Coturnix japonica: one gene and its partners. The protein of the gene in region 3 interacts with the protein of the main gene of each other region in a pairwise test. Links are inferred from orthologs where the notes say so. Each region holds a gene or a part of one and is shown on either strand. Other genes may lie near its edges.

Evidence for each region.
Region 1: the proteins of RASSF5 (region 3) and MYLIP interact in binary tests that used the Homo sapiens proteins (3 or more experiments, as listed by UniProt). The two-hybrid records come from large-scale screens. The link is inferred for Coturnix japonica from reciprocal best matches to the Homo sapiens genes RASSF5 and MYLIP.
Region 2: the proteins of RASSF5 (region 3) and RASSF2 interact in binary tests that used the Homo sapiens proteins (3 or more experiments, as listed by UniProt). The link is inferred for Coturnix japonica from reciprocal best matches to the Homo sapiens genes RASSF5 and RASSF2.

What each region holds. Positions count from the first base shown.
Region 1 is NC_029517.1:67,510,470-67,514,877, reverse strand, and holds the start of MYLIP (E3 ubiquitin-protein ligase MYLIP), read left to right. Parts: upstream 1-1,210; 5' UTR 1,211-1,361; coding exon 1,362-1,448; intron 1,449-2,059; coding exon 2,060-2,250; intron 2,251-4,408. UniProt on the Homo sapiens protein: E3 ubiquitin-protein ligase that mediates ubiquitination and subsequent proteasomal degradation of myosin regulatory light chain (MRLC), LDLR, VLDLR and LRP8. Activity depends on E2 enzymes of the UBE2D family.
Region 2 is NC_029537.1:1,638,079-1,642,640, reverse strand, and holds the start of RASSF2 (ras association domain-containing protein 2), read right to left. Parts: upstream 3,199-4,562; 5' UTR 3,122-3,198; intron 2,685-3,121; 5' UTR 2,534-2,684; intron 1-2,533. UniProt on the Homo sapiens protein: Potential tumor suppressor. Acts as a KRAS-specific effector protein. May promote apoptosis and cell cycle arrest. Stabilizes STK3/MST2 by protecting it from proteasomal degradation.
Region 3 is NC_029541.1:2,733,865-2,741,689, reverse strand, and holds the start of RASSF5 (ras association domain-containing protein 5), read right to left. Parts: upstream 5,969-7,825; 5' UTR 5,934-5,968; coding exon 5,540-5,933; intron 1,126-5,539; coding exon 1,013-1,125; intron 1-1,012. UniProt on the Homo sapiens protein: Potential tumor suppressor. Seems to be involved in lymphocyte adhesion by linking RAP1A activation upon T-cell receptor or chemokine stimulation to integrin activation.

The DNA.
Region 1 (4,408 bases), on a different chromosome or scaffold from region 3:
AGGAGGCACTACAAACAGTACCTACTGTGTGAAATAGGGTGTGACCAAAAAAGAACCTTGTACAGGGATTACACCTGGGCAATTTATACACAACTCACTACTGTAGTGAAAGATTGATCCATCCTGGAGGCATTGCTATGGTGCAGCACTAAGTATGTCATGACGTATGGCACCAAGGTGGCATGCTGTTGAGCAATGCTCTTCTACCATACTCCATAGTTGAGCATGCATCTGTCAGTGTGCCTCTATGAGTGGTACTGACCCACCAAAGAGCCTAAGTGGGACTGAAAGAGGCTTTGGGCTTTTCATTCAGGCAGAGCCCAACAGACTGCAAAGCACTCTCAATGCCGGAGCTCTCCCTTGTATGTTAGTATAGGACACGGTTCTTTCCTGTCTCCTTGCAGCATGAATAAAACATCACAGAGGGCCTGCAGAAAAGAACGCATTTCTGTGACAGCAGCATCCTGCTGCCACGCTTGAAAATGCTTGTTTTGCACAGGGCTTAACCAACTTATGCGATCTAGTGCTACAAGCTATTTTGGTGGCTTTAGGCTTAGATTTCAAAGCAGGATAGTGCTCCTACAGACATAATAAGAACACCTTCATCTGCGTTAGGTTAGACAAGAAGAAAACACAGGAGGTATGCTGATGTATGCAGAAAATGAGGCCTCTAGGAGGGGAGCCAGACCTATACAGAAAACAAGGAGAGCCAGTTTGTGGTGCATGAGTGGCATGGATGCGTAAGGAATGCCTGTTATCTGTAAGCTGGCCATCACTGTTTGGTGCTGGGTAAAACCAACATCCTGTTACCAGGATTTCTTCGCCTTCCTGCTGCATCTGTGCAAGAAAACAGAAATAAAACAAACTTTTCCTGCCCCCACTCCAAAATAAACTAAGAAACAAGTGGAAAAGGCAAAATATTCGGTGATTTGTGTTGGTGGCTCATCTCCCTGTCATAAATTCCCTTCAAAGGAACTGTTTTTTCCCAAACCCAACCTGCTCTTCCCCCATCCTCATCCCGTCCTTCCTCACCACACCCCCAGGCCGGCAGGGGGCGCCCCACAGCCCCCCCACATCAACCGCAGCCGTTCTCCAGAAGACGGCTGCTCTGATTGGCGGCCGAGCGGCCCGCAGCGGAGAGCGGAGCCCCGCGATTGGTCCGCAGGTGCCGCGCAGGGGGGAGGCAGAGGGTATATAAGGAGGGAGCGGCGGCAGCGGAGCGTGGATAGTGGTTGCGTTGTGTTGGTGTGCGGGTGTGGGCGGCGGGAGGCGCAGCCCGCAAGCACAGCGCCCTTCCCCGTCAGTGCCGGCGTTGGCAGCCGTTCGGTGCGGTGCAGTGGCAGCTCTGGCCGACCCCAGCCATGCTGTGTTATGTGACCAGGCCGGACGCGGTGGTGATGGAGGTGGAGGTAGAGGCGAAAGCCAACGGCGAGGACTGCCTCAACCAGGTGAGGGGCGTCCCCAGTGGGGCGGGTGGCGGTCTCCCCCCCCCCCCCAACCCATTATTTTCTCCCTTTTCCCCCCCCCCCCCCCTTCCATGTTGGATGCGGGTTGCCCGCATCCCTCTCCTCGCCGCTCTCCGGCCCGGCGCTGGTTATCGCCTTTCTCCTTCACTTGTTTGGGAAGGGCGGGCCAACAAGGGGGTGAGAGGGGGGCTGGGGAGGCCTCGGCCTCGCTGCTGCGGCCCCATCTCAACCTCCCCCCATACCCCCCGAGGGATGGGGGGGGCACGGGAGGACCCGTCGGGCCGCTGCGAGGCCGCCCGGGTGGGGCCCGCGGTAGCTGGGGCTGCGGGAAGAGCCGCCCCGTCTGTGCGTGGTGTCTGGGTGAAGCTGAGCCTGTCCCCCCCGGGGGGTCATAAAGTCCGTGTTGTTGTCGGCTAGTGGGGACGTTGCCAGCTTGTTTACGTAGCGCTTTGCACGCCGCTCTTTGGAAATCTGCTCGTATAAAGATGCTTGCAAACAGGGTTTCTCTCTCGTTTCAAGCTGCTCACACTTGAGCCGGGGTATCTTTGTCTAATCGTGTCGTTCGTGCCTTATAAACGACCTCTTTCTTTCAGGTTTGCAGAAGGTTGGGGATCATAGAAGTCGATTATTTCGGACTGCAGTTCACTGGCAGCAAAGGGGAGAATCTATGGCTGAATCTGAGGAACAGGATTTCCCAGCAGATGGATGGTTTAGCTCCTTATCGGTTTAAATTAAGAGTCAAGTTCTTTGTAGAGCCGCATCTTATCTTACAAGAACAGACAAGGTAAGGTAAAGAAGGCTGTAAGCAAAGCTAATTTTGTTCTCAGTTTTGTTAACTTGTGAAAACGATTATGTGGAGGCTCTATTTCTTCCGTCTTCTGATATTCCCTGTTAAACTCAGTTTAAATCCACTATTTAGACGTGTTATTCACTTTCTAGAAAGAAAAAGTAATGGTGTGAGTAGCTAGCAGTAATGTATGTAGTTAATTCCATGAGAAACTGGTGCTGGAAGAAGCTGAGCTAACAGTAACAACTTATTTAGATGGCAAATGTGTGTCCGATAGTAACCCCAGCTCAGTGGTGTTACTGTAGGTCGTTCTAAGGCAGGAAACAATTCCTCCCACAGAGCAAAAACTTGCTGAATTCCTTTTTGTCTGGTATCATGTTACAGTAACTTTCAAACAGCTACAGGCCCTGTGAGGCTACAAAAGAAACAGCTGTTGGGCTTCTGTAGCCTGTCCTAGTAACTAAATTGTTTGCTACCCAGCCTTAAGGTTTGGACTGCTAAGATTAGTGAGGCGTGCTTGCTTTCACTCCTTGAGTTTGATTACTGCCTTACTGCTTGATCTCCAATTGCTTTCTCTTTAAGGAAAGCTGGGTACTAAGTTTAATACTGATTTCTCAACTAATGTTTTTTGTTTTAGGTAGTAAATGGGGCAGATGGAAATCTAGTGTCTGGCTGGTAGTGCCAAAATGTCTTCATTTAGTAGAATGAGTTAGTTAGGTACTGGAATAGGCTCCCCAGGGAGGTGGTTGAATCGCCATCCCTGGTTGTGTTTAAGAGCCGTTTGGATGTGGTGCTCAGGAATACAATTTAGTGTAGGGTTTTTAGAGTTAAGGTTCTGGTTAGGCTACAGTTGGACTTGATGATCTTCAAGGTCTTTTCCAACCTGGGTAATTCTATGATTATCCACTTTTACTTTGTACTATCAGAATTAAGACCACAGACATGACGCCCTTGTTCTGCACAGCATGTTTGTGTAATTAATTTGGTCATAAACTGGCTCTTGATTTGGTGTGTATTTCATAGGAAGGGACGTCTTGAGTTTTTCCTTCCCTAATGTATAGGGGTGAGGCTTTGGGGAGTGGTTATTGCCCAATCTGTTTGAAGTTGAATGCTATTTGTATGACTTTATCTGGCATAATAGATTCAGTTGGGCAAATATAGTCCAACAAATCCAGGATGTCTTTGGGCTCTTACTGAATACTTTTCTTCAAAATGCATATAAGTAAAGAAAGGAGGAAATAAAGGATTTTTATGTAGAACCAAAGAAGCAACAGGGTCTCATTCCTGATGAGGCAGATGAAATTGCTGTGTATGTTGTTGGATGCAGCTCCTCACTCAGGCAAAGCCATTGTGAATCTGAGGAAACAAAGTGCAACTGTGATTGGTGTTTTGCTGTTGCTGCTGAGAGCTTGTTCTGCTTTATATGGCTCTTGCAGACACCTGTCTTCTTACCTTCAACACCATCAGTGCAAGTCTTGGCAGGTTGTGTAAGCTACTAACAGAGCTTGAAGTGGTGAAACACACCCCAAGGGCCTAAAAGGCAGGTTTTGTAGCTAGACTGCAAAATAACTTGTATGTACATACATCAAAGTCATGAGTGTGTTCCACTATAAAGATGACTTTAAGAGGTTGCAGGTGGGATGAGTTCTCTTTTATGTGTGAATTAAGGCTGTTTGAAAGTATTTTAACAAACACGTCTAACACTGAGACTCAGTCAATGAGAGCTCTATTAAAATGAGGCCATGGTGAAAATGAATTGATGATTTGGAGAGAAACTGCTTATCTGGGGCCTTAGGAGCATTCGCACTTGCAAGATAATCACATGAAATGCTAAATCAAAGTCAGCTGTTCAGTCCACATACTGAGTATCTGTGCTAAAAGCGTTTGCATTAATAATTAAATCCACGTTGCAAAATAGTTTGCGTTGGCTGCATTTTAGCTGCCTGCATGTGGCAGATCTAGAGCTCCACGGTGGTTGTGGTTAGTGTGTATTTCCGTAGTGCTGGCACTGAGGTACATTAAATTTGCTATTCCTTCTCAGGTCTGCTAAAGGATTTAGCTGTGCACCCCTAGTTTAGTTTAAACTTGGGTAGGATGAAGGAAAAGGTAAAAACATGTTGAACCTGTCAGTGAATTGGTGGGTGTATCATAGAAG
Region 2 (4,562 bases), on a different chromosome or scaffold from region 3:
TTTGGGGCAGCATCTGTGGGCGCAGGGGAAATTAAATGCTGCTCCTCCAACAGAAGCAATGGGCGGGGAAGCAGGAGGGGAAATCAGATAAGGGGAGAACCGTTGTAAACCCACTGAAAATTTAATACCGGCAGAGATACGCTTACTCCAACATTTGCATTTAGAGCAGCCTCCATCCATAGGCTGCACAGCCAGGCAAGACGAGGTGGAAATAAGTGGGATTTCCTCCTTTTTCTCCTCTCCCCCACCCCCCATTTATATGTTAGGAAGCTGTGGGTGGATCCAGCTTAATGCTTGTTCATGCTGTCCCAAATGAGGCAGCACGCATGAAAGCTGGATTCACAATAGAACCACTGGATTGGTTTCTTGCTTCTTTTTCCTTCTTCGAATGCAACACCCACTGAATTTTTGCATTCCCTCCAGTGCCAAAATATCCCCATCACTCTCATGCAAACCCTCAGGAACTGCGCCTGCAGCCCAACCTTTGAAGTGGTTTGGCCTTTAAAGCACGAGGATGTTTCTTGGAAGCTACAGACCGGAATCGAATGAGATCTGGGGCAAAACCTTTGGGGTCACCCATTTGCTTGGAGCACTTTGTGAAACAGGAACTGGAGAGAAGCTGAACTGCAGCTTCAGAGTGGTTTTAGGCTATGAGGGGTGGCTTTTCAGGTCTTGCTTTTTCCCATGTGTTTGCACAGATCCTTTTTCTGAGCTCCTCTCCCCTCTTTCTCCTCACACAGAGAAAATAAGGCCAAAAAACCAAACACTTTGTGCACAAATTGCAGTTTTCTCCACTTCCCACATCGAGCTTCACAGTCCCTCCACACCCCCAAAGCTCCAAGAAACCAAAACTTGAACTGCAAAAGCAAAACCCCAAACCCACAACGATGCGCCATCAGTGATTCAACCAAGGCCATGGGACTAAACCTGTGTCAGAGGAAACCAAAAACCCGAGCGCAGCAGCAATCCTTATCCCAAGCTTATAGCAAACAAACCACGCATCAGAAAACACTCACGGTCCAATGCAGGGAAATGTTTGCAAAGGCAGAGCAGAAAGCAGAAGAGAAACCTGCCCTGCAAAGATTGCATCTTGCAGAGGAAAAGCTGACGAAGCCGCACGCTTCCGGATGAGCAGCATTGCAGCCCCATATCAGCATGAGGCCTTTACCCCATCCACGTGGCTCATCACAGCAAGAAAATAGGGGAGAAACATTAATGATCCTCTGTGTGCATGGAGAACTACATAAGGAAGGGGAATGCTGATGGTGTTGGGATAAATCCCAGCACAGCATTGCATGGCACCAGAATTTGGGTTGAGCCAAAGCATTGGCAGCTGTGGTGCATAGAGCAGAGTTGGTGCTTTGCTCATTCAATCCAGATGATGGAAATAACAATTAAGGGAGAATAACGTTGCTTGGGTCATGCAAAAACATCACCAACAACACCAAAGCAGCCAAAACAAACCCCAAACCCTTCGCAATAAGCCTAGAGTGACACAAAGGGCCAAAGCCCAACCCCTCGCTTCCTGAAATGGGGGAAAATCAAAGCAAAAAATCAATCAATCCATCAATCAAAAAGCACCCCCAAAAGTGGTTTTTTCTCCTCCTGAACGCTCTCAGAGTGGAGCTGGGTTTCCTGTTTACCGCCCCGCAGCGCTGCCACCTTCGCCTCCGTCATCATATCCCCTTCCGAGCAGCCAGGAACGGGGCAGTTCTTCCTTTTTTGGGTCTCGAGAGCATCGGGCTGAGCAAAGAGGAGCAGGCAGCCAACAGAGAGACCCAAACTGCAACCCGATGGATTACCTGCTATAGCCTTGGTAGACCTGAAGTGCTGGAAAGGACCCCAGTAGAACAGCTGGAAACATGAGCATTGCCCAGTCACTTGCCCAAGCTCTGCAGTTGGCATGGATGGGCTTTCCAGGCATCCCCGTGCCTCAGTTTCCCCAGTTTTGATGCATTTCATTCACATTTGCCATGGATTGAGGACTCAGAGCAGCCTGAGGGCTGTATCAATGCCTTAAATTAATCAAAGCAGCGCTCTCTGCCTACAAATAGGACCCATCAACCACTGCCACCATTGCTTCCAACCCCAAATATAATCCCTCCTAGCAACACCCTTCCTAAGGCCCTTTACCTGGCCCCCATCTACTACTCCATAGAGGGCACAACCAAGCTGCTGCTTCTGCAGAGCTCCTGGGGAGATACCGAGCAAAAAGAAAGCATAAAGAGGGGAAAAATAGAACAATATCCAAATATGATATATGTGAGAGAAGGGTTGCGGCCATTCCTGTAATGAGAAGTGTGTTTTTGGGGGCACTTCCTCGCTGCTTTCAGGGCTGAGGATTTTCCTATTGCACACTGAGGGATTGTGGGAATATCCCAACCCTGCCCTGACCCTGCCCAGGGCAGTGCAGCATCAGAGCATCCATCGATCCCAATGCAGAAGCAAAGCAACATCTGCAGGGGACAATTATCCCCTTTTAGGGGCTGGGAGAGGCATTGCTCAGCAATGGGCTCCGGCTGCACATCCTCACCCACTCCAAGCAGATCCCAGCAGCGCTCCCGATGATGGTACCCAGCAGCTCCGGCCCAAATGTTGGTTTCAAGCAGGGATTTCTCCCCTAGCTAAGCGTGAAGGTGAGGCGGTCCCATTGTTTTCCAGCTCTGCTATTGTTCAGCTCCGTCCTGTTAAAGGGGAGAGGAGGGAGCGGTGAGGAGCTGCCGGGTGATGGTGGTTGGGTTGATGGCACAGGGCTGAGCGAGCGGACCCTTTGCTTGAGCTCATTCCCCCCCGTGCAGAACCATTGGCCGTCAGTAGCTCCATAGGGGCTGCAGGGAACGGGGCTGGGGGACTCAGCCGTGGGTACGGGGGAACCAGTGGGAAGGATTAGGGTTTAGGGGTCGCGTGCAGGGCTGGGACCCCGCAGATGGGGGCTCGCATCTCCCTGCTAATACAGCCAGCTTCGAGAGTGAAGGCGAAGGCAGCAATAAGGTGGCACCGACGGGAGGGTAGGGGGTCTGTAAAGCCACCCTCAGCCTCGGGGATGGGGATGAGGACAGGGATGGGGAAAGGCAAAGGGATGGGGATAGGAACGCGGCTGCCCCGTCCATCCCGCACTCACCGGCACCGCACCGCGCTGCTCCGCGCCGCGCCCGCTGTCCGCTTGGGGCCGCCCCCGGTGGGGCGGAGAGGGGAGGAGAGGGGCGGAGATGCGGTCGGGGCTGCGGGGAGGGGGGGAGTGGAGGAGGGAGGCTGAGGTTTCTAGTGTCTCACAGCCCTTCCCCACGAACACAGAGGTTCCTTCGGCTGGGGGTGCGCTCCGTGATGTCCGGATGGGCAGGAGGGGGTACCCAGGGGATGGGGAGTATGGTCATAAATGAAGCCTGGCTCGGGCACCTGGGGCTGAGTTCCCAAAGGTGCCCCATCATAAGCACCAGGGCTGCAATCCTAAAGGTTATTTCATGTTATTATCAGGACTGGGCTTCCAGTATCAGGCATAGGATGGCAATCCCAGAGGATGCTCCATCCCAGGTACCAGGACTGTAATACCCAAACTTACCGTATCCCAGATAGTAGGACTGCAATTCCAAAGGATGCCCTAATCCAAGTACTAGGACTGGGTTTCCCATCCCAAGCACCACGGCTGAATTCCCAAAACATGCCCTATCCCAGGTACCAGGACTGCAATCCCAAAGGATGCCCCATCCCAGGTACCAGCACTACGCTCCTGAAACAAGCCCTATCCCAAATACAATGAGTGTCTACCCAAGGGACATCCCATCCCAGTACCAGGATGCTCCATCTGAGGTACCAGGACTGGGTTTCCCATCCCAAGTACCACAGCTGAAGTCCCAAAACATGCCCTATCCCAAGCAGCACTCCTGCAGTCCCAAAGGATGCTCCATCTCAGGCACCCAGCTTAGAAACGCTCTCACAATCAGCTCCAGCTTAACACACTATAAAGCAGTTATTCCTGCCTTGAAATGTTCCAAACCTTGTGATATTCAGAACCAGATCCATACACGTTCCACACGTTGTTATTCTGCCTTTGGGGATGGTGTTATAGGGCTAGCGAACAGCCATGGGGGGAGGGCTGGGGGTGCACAGAGGCACTCAGTATTCTGTTAGAGCAGCAGAGCCTTTGTCTGCTCCTGACCTTTCCCCACTGCTTTGTGGCTTCCCTGCGCTTTCTTTTTCTCCCCCTTCTTCTCCTTTTTTTAAGGAATTTAAATAGAAACAGCCCACACCAGGGGGAAGAAATAAATAAATTAAAAGGGCAGAACACAAAGGAACGATCTGAACAGCTGGTTTAGGCAAAACAAGCAGCTCTTCACAACTGCAGATTGTAATCAGTGTGTGTGTATGTAAAATATGAGGAGTTCAGGAGGAGCCATCTGGCGTGGGGAAACACTGACATGGCAAAAGGAGAAGGGAAGGGGGGGCAGCAAGGGGGGATTATTGATATTCCAGCAGCATCTTTGGGGCTGGCGGAGCTGAGAGGCCCTTTGTGGCCATAGAGCAGAGCTGCACAAAGCCCTGAAATAGGGGGTTTATCCTTCAAG
Region 3 (7,825 bases):
AGAGCTGCTCCTTCCCTGCATCCCAAACACAGGCTGGAGCGAGGGATGCTCGCAGAGATGCGCTGCATCCAAAAAGAGGTGGGGAAGGGGTACAAGCCCTGCAGTGCTGTGCAGGGGGCAGTGAAGGTCCATCTGCTCTGCAGATGCTTTGGGAGCTGTGTAGGTACAAGCCAAGGAAATGCTGCCCAGCTCCTTGACCCCGTTTGCAGCAACCCCCTCACTGCAGGGGGATGGAAACTCATGCTCCACAACTCAGCCTGACACAGACCCCAGCTCGGGGCTGCTCCCATCCGCCAGTGTAGATAAGGAGGCTCCAGGCTGCTTTCTAGTTATGCTCAAGCCGCAAATATTTAGAAGCTTTGCAGACAGGGAATGCATTTTTCTTCTCCTCTGCAGCGCTGGGTCATAATTAGAAGAGAAATAGGCTTAAATCAAGCGTGCAGGGCATGAGCAGAACCAAGTGCTGTGTCAGGTGCAGAGCTGGGTCAGCTGGAGATCACCTTTGGTGACATCAAGGCTGAAAATATGATTCAAATCCTTTGTTCTTGTAGGAAATCCCACATCAAGGTGCTGTAGCCCCAGGGTTGAGCCAGGCAGAGGCTGTGCTGGCTGCACTGCACCCAGGGAGAGCAATCTGGGACCTAAACACAACACACTTAAGTACTTTGCTGGATCAAGGCCCATATTATTAATGCTTGGTATGAAGTGCCAACAGGACTTTACTAACTTTCTCCGATGCTCCTGCTTTGCTTACATTTGATAATACTATTTACTGGCTGCCAACTACACCAGCCACGGCATTTCCCACCCTTCCAGTGTGCTGTTCTCCATTTCCCCAGTGTATTCTGGCACCTATTCCCTTTTCAGATGATGGGCACAGAAGCAAGATGCACAGGGAATTTATTAGCAAGCATCAATTAGGGCCACGGGCCGACCTCTGCAATGAAATCTCACCCTGCTAAGAGCAAAGAAATGGGCTTTGGGAAAGAGGCTGACCACCATGAGGGCATACCTGGCTGCAGGGGAGCACAATGGTGCCCACAGGAGAGAGCTGCCCGGGGTCAGGCCGGCGGCAGTCCAGCTGGACGAGGCTGCAGCATTGCTGATGGCACGTGTACCTGCAATCTGGGAGAGAACAGAGCCGTGCTGTGATGGGAGAGCAGCCAGAAGCCCCATGTCCTCCCCATTGCGCTCTACCAACACCCATGGGTGCTGTCTGCAGCCACATCCAGCCCCTCTGAGTGCTCCCCCCACTCCAACAGCCCTTTTAATTTTTAACAGCCCCACAAACAGCATTCAATCAATTATTTCTTACACAACCCACAATTCCAGTGCAGTCATTGACCTGTTGGCCACCCAGCACCCACTCCTCCCCAAAACCAACACCCTCAGCATTGCAGAGGCCCCCTCTACAAGAAAACCTGCCTTTCCCTCTATTATTTTTGGGCACTTGGGTCATTGCTTTTGAACCCCTTGGACTTGCAGAAAGCAAAGTGACATCCCATAGAATCAGATCTCTGCCCCTATCAAGGAATTCCCAAGCAGGAGCAGAGCATTCACGCAGTGCCTGAGTATCTCCCTCAGAGGAACCATTGATTGCTTAGCATTCAATTGACACCAGCTGCCATCCTACCATTTCCAGCTGGTTGTCTCAAGGCTGGGAGGCAAGCAAGGGGGTCTTCTGATTGATTTTTTTCCCCCCTCTTAATTTTAATGAGGGATAAGCCAAGCAGTTGCATGGTAATGCAATGCATGACCTTTCAAACAGCTGGAGCAGCTGCTCAGTGGGACATTTGCCAGCTCTATGCTGCAAGGTGCCAAGCACAGCAGGCTGTGATTGCAGCCCCACCTGAGCAACCAACACAGCAGCCCCCAAAGGCATCACATTCAGATGTCCCCATGCACGGCATGTAGGATGGGAATGATGGAGCACCCACAATGGGGAGCAGTCTGTAGTGTGAAATACAGACCACAAATCACTGAGTCCACCCCCATCACAGCCAGGCATTTCCCCCTTAGGATTACAGCATGACACCTCCTTAGTCACCGCCGCCTATTAGCAGCCCTAATCACCACTATCTGGTGGGCAGCACTAATTTTAGAAGCCCAGCACAGCCCTGGGAAGCAGCCACGTGATGGGGCAGGATGCCTCCATTGCGGCCGTGAGATCATTTCTATTCGAGTCAAACAAAGCCACCGCTGGAAACAGCTTCTTTAAGTAAAGAAAACCCTCGAGTCTGATCACAACATAGCAAGAAACTTTAGTAGCTGAAAGGAACTTCCCTCTGCATGCAGATAAAGCTTATCAGAGTGATAACATTGGATGTGCAACTGAACCCCATCTGGGTGCTCATCCATCTGCCTAAGCGCAGCTTGCAGTCACCCTGCCCAGCCCTGTGTGCCATTGGCATCCTTTGATATAATGCTCTTCAAAGCTGTCCAGCTTCATAGGGTAACCCCAGCCATTGCACCAAGCTGGGACAGGAGCACAAAGCAGCCACTGGGTGGGTGATGCTCTAAAGCCATTGCTTCTTAATGGAGCAGCTTCCCTGCTGAGGCATGAAGCACTTCCAGCTGTGCTCTATGGAACCCCATTACCCCCCTTCATTAACAACAGCAACCAACAGACACCCAAACACAGCCCCTACCTCTCAGCAATGAGCCCTCCCTGCTCAGCCTCTGCGGTCCCTCGGAGCAAGACTTGGACTTGAAAAAGTGCCTGAATACTTTGCGGATTCTCTTTGCAATGAACCCAAAGCAAACAGCAGCCTCTGCTCTGCCCTCCGACATCCTCAGCAGGGGGACCAACACTCCCAAGGCAGCACAGCACTGCGCAGAGCAGCGCCTGCCTCCACAGCCTTATCCCATGGAGATAAAGCATTGACATGAGCCATCGGTGAATCTATTTGACGGATACATTTATTTATATATTTAGAGCACAGTGGAGCCCATTGCACAGCTCGGGGCTTAACACACCTCAGGGCTCGTCCTGTTCACCATGGAAAAGTTTCTATTTCGGGGGCTTTTTCTTTTTCTTACTTGATAAGATAAAAAGACCCAACGGAAGAGATTAGAAGGGAGAGCAGGAGCTGGCTGAGCTGGGAGGTCCCTTTCTAACATCCCCACTTCACTGCTGTTCCCTTGTGGTTGTCTAAAGCCTCCAATATTGAATGAAACATTAAAGAAATACACTGAGATCAGCAATGTGAGCAATACTGACATGAGCCCTGCCAGGTTTTTGGATCAGTGCTGCAGTTTTCCTGTAGCATCCATCCTTTCTAGCCACGTGAGGTGCTGGATGATGCTCGTATCCATCCCATCACCCAACAAAGGGCTTTAAAACCTCCCCATTCTGTATCACAGCCATCCCCTCACCCATGGGGCAGGTTTCCAGCATCCCACACAACACACTCTACCCATTTCATCCATTAATTTGCAGAGATAAAAGCTCACTAAATCCAAACATCACACCAAGCAGCACAGGATAATACAAAGTAATTCCTTCCTCACCCCTCAGCATCCCCCAACCCTGCAGCTCACACACATCCCTTCTTCCCAACCCAGACCACCAAGCCCAGCTACAGGACCAGGAAAGGAAGAAACAACCCAAACCTCACCTGGTGAACCAAAGCCTCCATTGGTGTCTTCCTCCATAAGCACAGGATGGGAAGGCAGCAGCAAAGGGTGACCCAAGGACCTGAGCCCCCCCCAGAATAGCAGCCTGCCAATGCTGAGTCCCCCAGTGAGCAATACCTGCTGTGCCCTGCCCCATAGACCTGATCCCTGTGCCCTGCCCTGCACCTTCCCCACCACCCTCATCCTCTGCTGCTGGGAGAACAAGAATCTGCCCAAACCAGACTAAGGAAGCCCCAAAACTGTGGCTCCTGGTGGCAATTATTGTTTACAGTGATGAGAGCAGAAATGGGAGGGACACGCAGGGAGGAGACATGGGAAAACCTCACACTTAAAGTGCTGCAGGTGTGGGCAGAGACCCCATCCCAGAGCCCAGCTGGGAGCATCCACACCTGCTACTGAGCACTGATAATTAAACAGCCACTCCAGAACCTGTAATGGCAGAGCTGCAGTTTACAAGCTAGAAAGCAAAGTGCTGTGTGTTGTGCCAGCTTTCTTCTCAATGAAATGGGTCCTGATCCAACAGTGCTGGAACACAGACTGAGCTGTGCCATTGTCCTGCAAGGAAACCTCATTGAGTGCTGGTGGGGTGACATGATGTCCTGGGGAGGGATCGGGTCTATGGGACAAACCCATGCAGGGCACACCCAGCTCACCCCATAGGGCAGTTTGATAAGCACAGCCCAGGAAATACAAGGGCTGTAAGTCATGCCCTGAGCTGCCAGGATGAGAGAGGACCTAAGGCTGGAAAATGCCTGAGGGAAAAGCCCAGCCCATAATGCAGGGGATAAGGGGAAGGAGCAGGAGTTTCTGCTTCCAGAACCACCCCCGACCCCGGATATCCCTGCTTAGAACCCAAATAAATCTCAGCACAGACTTGGAAGCTGCGTTGTCACCTTCACATTCCAACATCTACGTTCCGCCCCACCTGAACAAACAGCAAGAAAAAAACCCCAACAGAAACGGATGTGCTGCAGGAGGAGGGGGAGGGCGATGGGTGCTGATGTTCTAAGAGTCCCACTGAAGTTTCTCTCCCTCCCCCCAGCGATAACACGTCGTTGTTTGGGGAATTTTAGAGGCTGATCTATTCCCACAGCCTGACAGCTCTCAGAAGAAACGAAAAGGGAAGCAAGCACTGCAGGCTTCTTTCAATATCACTCGTAAAAGAGCCCTGGGAAAGAAATCCCTCAAAACACCCCTTTTATAGCACTCACAGCATCACAAAGTGCTGCCAATTAACGTGTCAGATCGGGATGCTCCCTCAGTTACCTGAAAACATCAGCTGGGCACAGGGCTGGGGCAGGAGGAGCGCCGCCCCCAGGCACTGCTCATAGTCTATAGGATGTAAAGCCCTTTCCCCATTCAGAAGATATGGAATAACAAGGCAACAGGTTCGACTTCTGCTGCCTGTAACTCACTGCTTGGTCCTTATGCCACCCCTCACACAGTGATGCACATGGGCTGCGTCTGACCCAGGACACCCCATTCACTCCCACCCCCTCTTCCCAACCCCTTAAACACGATGGGAACGCCAACCCTTCCTGCAGAACTAAATCTTAATGCACCCGATGGGAGCACAGCGAGTCTTCCTAGAGAGCTCCCACTGCTCACTGCCCAAAGAACCTAAAGGAGATATTCCCAACGTGCTATTCCTGGAAGGATTTAGCTCCACCGTAAGGCGGCACAACCACGAGCCATTCCGCCCCGATGAGCCGATAATCCCATCTTCCCCGGAGGAAAAAAAAACCCCAAGTCCCGCATCCCCCGCACGGATCCGCACCCCACGGGGGACAGCTCTGCGGGGGGACACGGGGCTGGGGGTGAGGGGGGCATGGAGTTGGTGGGGAGTAGGGCAGGGTGATGGATGCGGTGCGGGATGGAACTGCGGGACGGCAGCAGCACTCACATTCGCAGCGCAGGGCACGATCCCGCACGGCAGCTCCGCACAGATCGCACCAACCGCAGCGAGGGACGCGGGGGACGAAGCGGTGACCGTGACCGTGACCGTGACCGTGACCGTGGGCTCGTTCCGCCGCTTCTCGAGGAGCCGAGAAGATGTTGCGCACGTCGGGCAAAAGCCGAGGGGACCCTCCGCGCCTCCGCAGCCGTCGAGCTGCCCTGACACCGCCGGGGCTCCCCGGGCAGGGGGGAGCGGGGCCGGGTGGACCCCGCCGCATGGAGCCAGGCGAGGGGCTCGGCCCCACGGGTGGGCACGGCACGGCACCGCACGGCACGGCACGCCGCTCTGCGGGCTCCGGGCTGGCGGTGTGGCCGGGAGGAGCGGGGCAGGGCGGGTGCATTGGGCCGCCCCGGGGAGGAGACACTGATATAGGGGGGGGTGGTGCGGGGAGCGGCCCCGCGTGGGATCTTCTCGTGGTGACCCTCCCGGAGCAGCGGTTCCTCCCATAGGATCCATCGCAGTCGTAAACCCCCCCCCCCCCCCCTCTCTTTCTTCCCCCCTTCTCCACCCCCCTTTAGGATTTCCCCATGGAATCCCAACCCACACTGTTGTGTAACCGCTCCCCACGGGACGCTCCTCCTCTCGGGACCGGGGACGTTGCACGCATACATCACCCTAATCCCGGCTGTGCAAATGGGGTGAGCAGCGTGCAGCATAAAGCTGTTCCCAGTGGACACTGCAGGAGCGCAGAAGCACCCCATCCCATCCCATCCCCATCCCCATCCCATCCCCATCCCCATCCCATCCCCTTCTATCCCATCCCATCCCATCCCATCCCCTTCTATCCCATCCCATCCCCATCCCCATCCCAGGTTTTGCCCCTACAGAATCAGGGCGATCACCTCTCAGGTGCTGCTTTATACACTGAGCTGAAGACACAGACCCTCCTGCACAGAGCATGGACCAGGCTGCACAGACAGCTGGAACAAATTACCTTTTCCCCTCTGAAATGACAGCAGGGCACCGGAGTGATGCTGAGGGCTGAGAGCCCAAGCAATTAAACTCTCCCAGATGAGGCTTTTGTGGTTGTGGGAGAAGTGAAAGGGAAAATATGATGGGCAGATTCTGGAGTCTCTCTCTTCTGTACAGGTTCCAGCACTGCAGCTCTGAGGACGCCCATTTGCAATGCTTTTGGGGTGCAGAGATGAGGGTGTTTGGATCAGGTGCTGCTCTGAAGGCCTGATGACAAAGAGACAAAGCGAGTTTCTGAGGATGGGATGAGCCAAAGATGCTTAAATCCCTTTGAAATAATTTAAATTGAAGGATGGATCTGGCTCTGAGTTACAAAAGACGATTGCAATAGGCAACCCCTAATAAGAGCCTAAAATGAAAGGAGCAATAATACAGCTTGAAAAATCCCATTTTTGTTTGTTAAGTAACATGACTCATATTGGAAGGTCTTTTTTTTCCCCATTCAGGATCCTGATTCACTTTCATGCATCCTCTACTTCTGCATGAGACCAGCAGCAGATTTGTCCTTGGGTAAATGGTTTTCCCCATAGAGGGATGTTTTATCTGTTCTCCTTCCAGACTGGGAGATAGAGCAGATTCACTGCCATTCTCTGCTTCCTCAGCAGGTTTTCAGCTAATGCAGGAAAACAGGAGCAGGGTTGAGAATTCGGGGGGGGGAAAAACTAAATCCTGATGAACACAGGCAAGAAAATCCCTATTTCATTTAGATTCTGGGAGTCCTCTTTGCAGCTGCTGCATTATGGCAGCTGAAGGGCTATTAGCAGCTCTTCCTTTTGGTGCACGCCAAGAAATAAATCCTTCCTTTTGAAGCCAACCACGTTCCAGGTCAAACACTCACATGGTCCACATCAGCACAGCTCCAATGGACCTGGGTTCAGTGAAATGCTGGTTGTGAAGCTGGGAGAACCCTAGGAAATAATTTGCAGGAGAGAAGCTTTTAAGAGGTGGCTTTGCTCCACTGCTTCCACAGCAAGCGGTTGGGTTTGGCAGTCGGGATGTTGGTTTTTACAATTAAAATGAATGGGAATATACAGATTTGGTGCCAAATACCACTAAGAAAGTGGTTTCCTGTACAGGGGCAGCTCCTGACTCTCCTGTTCCTACATGAAAATGAAGCCAGGACAGACTGGAGCCACTGCTCCCTGCTCCCCCTGTGTCCATGCTGAGAGCCAGGCAGCAAGATCTGCATCACATCCCTCCCTATAGGCATATAGGGGAATGAGGGAATATTCCCCATTGTCAATGCAAGGAGCAGCACTG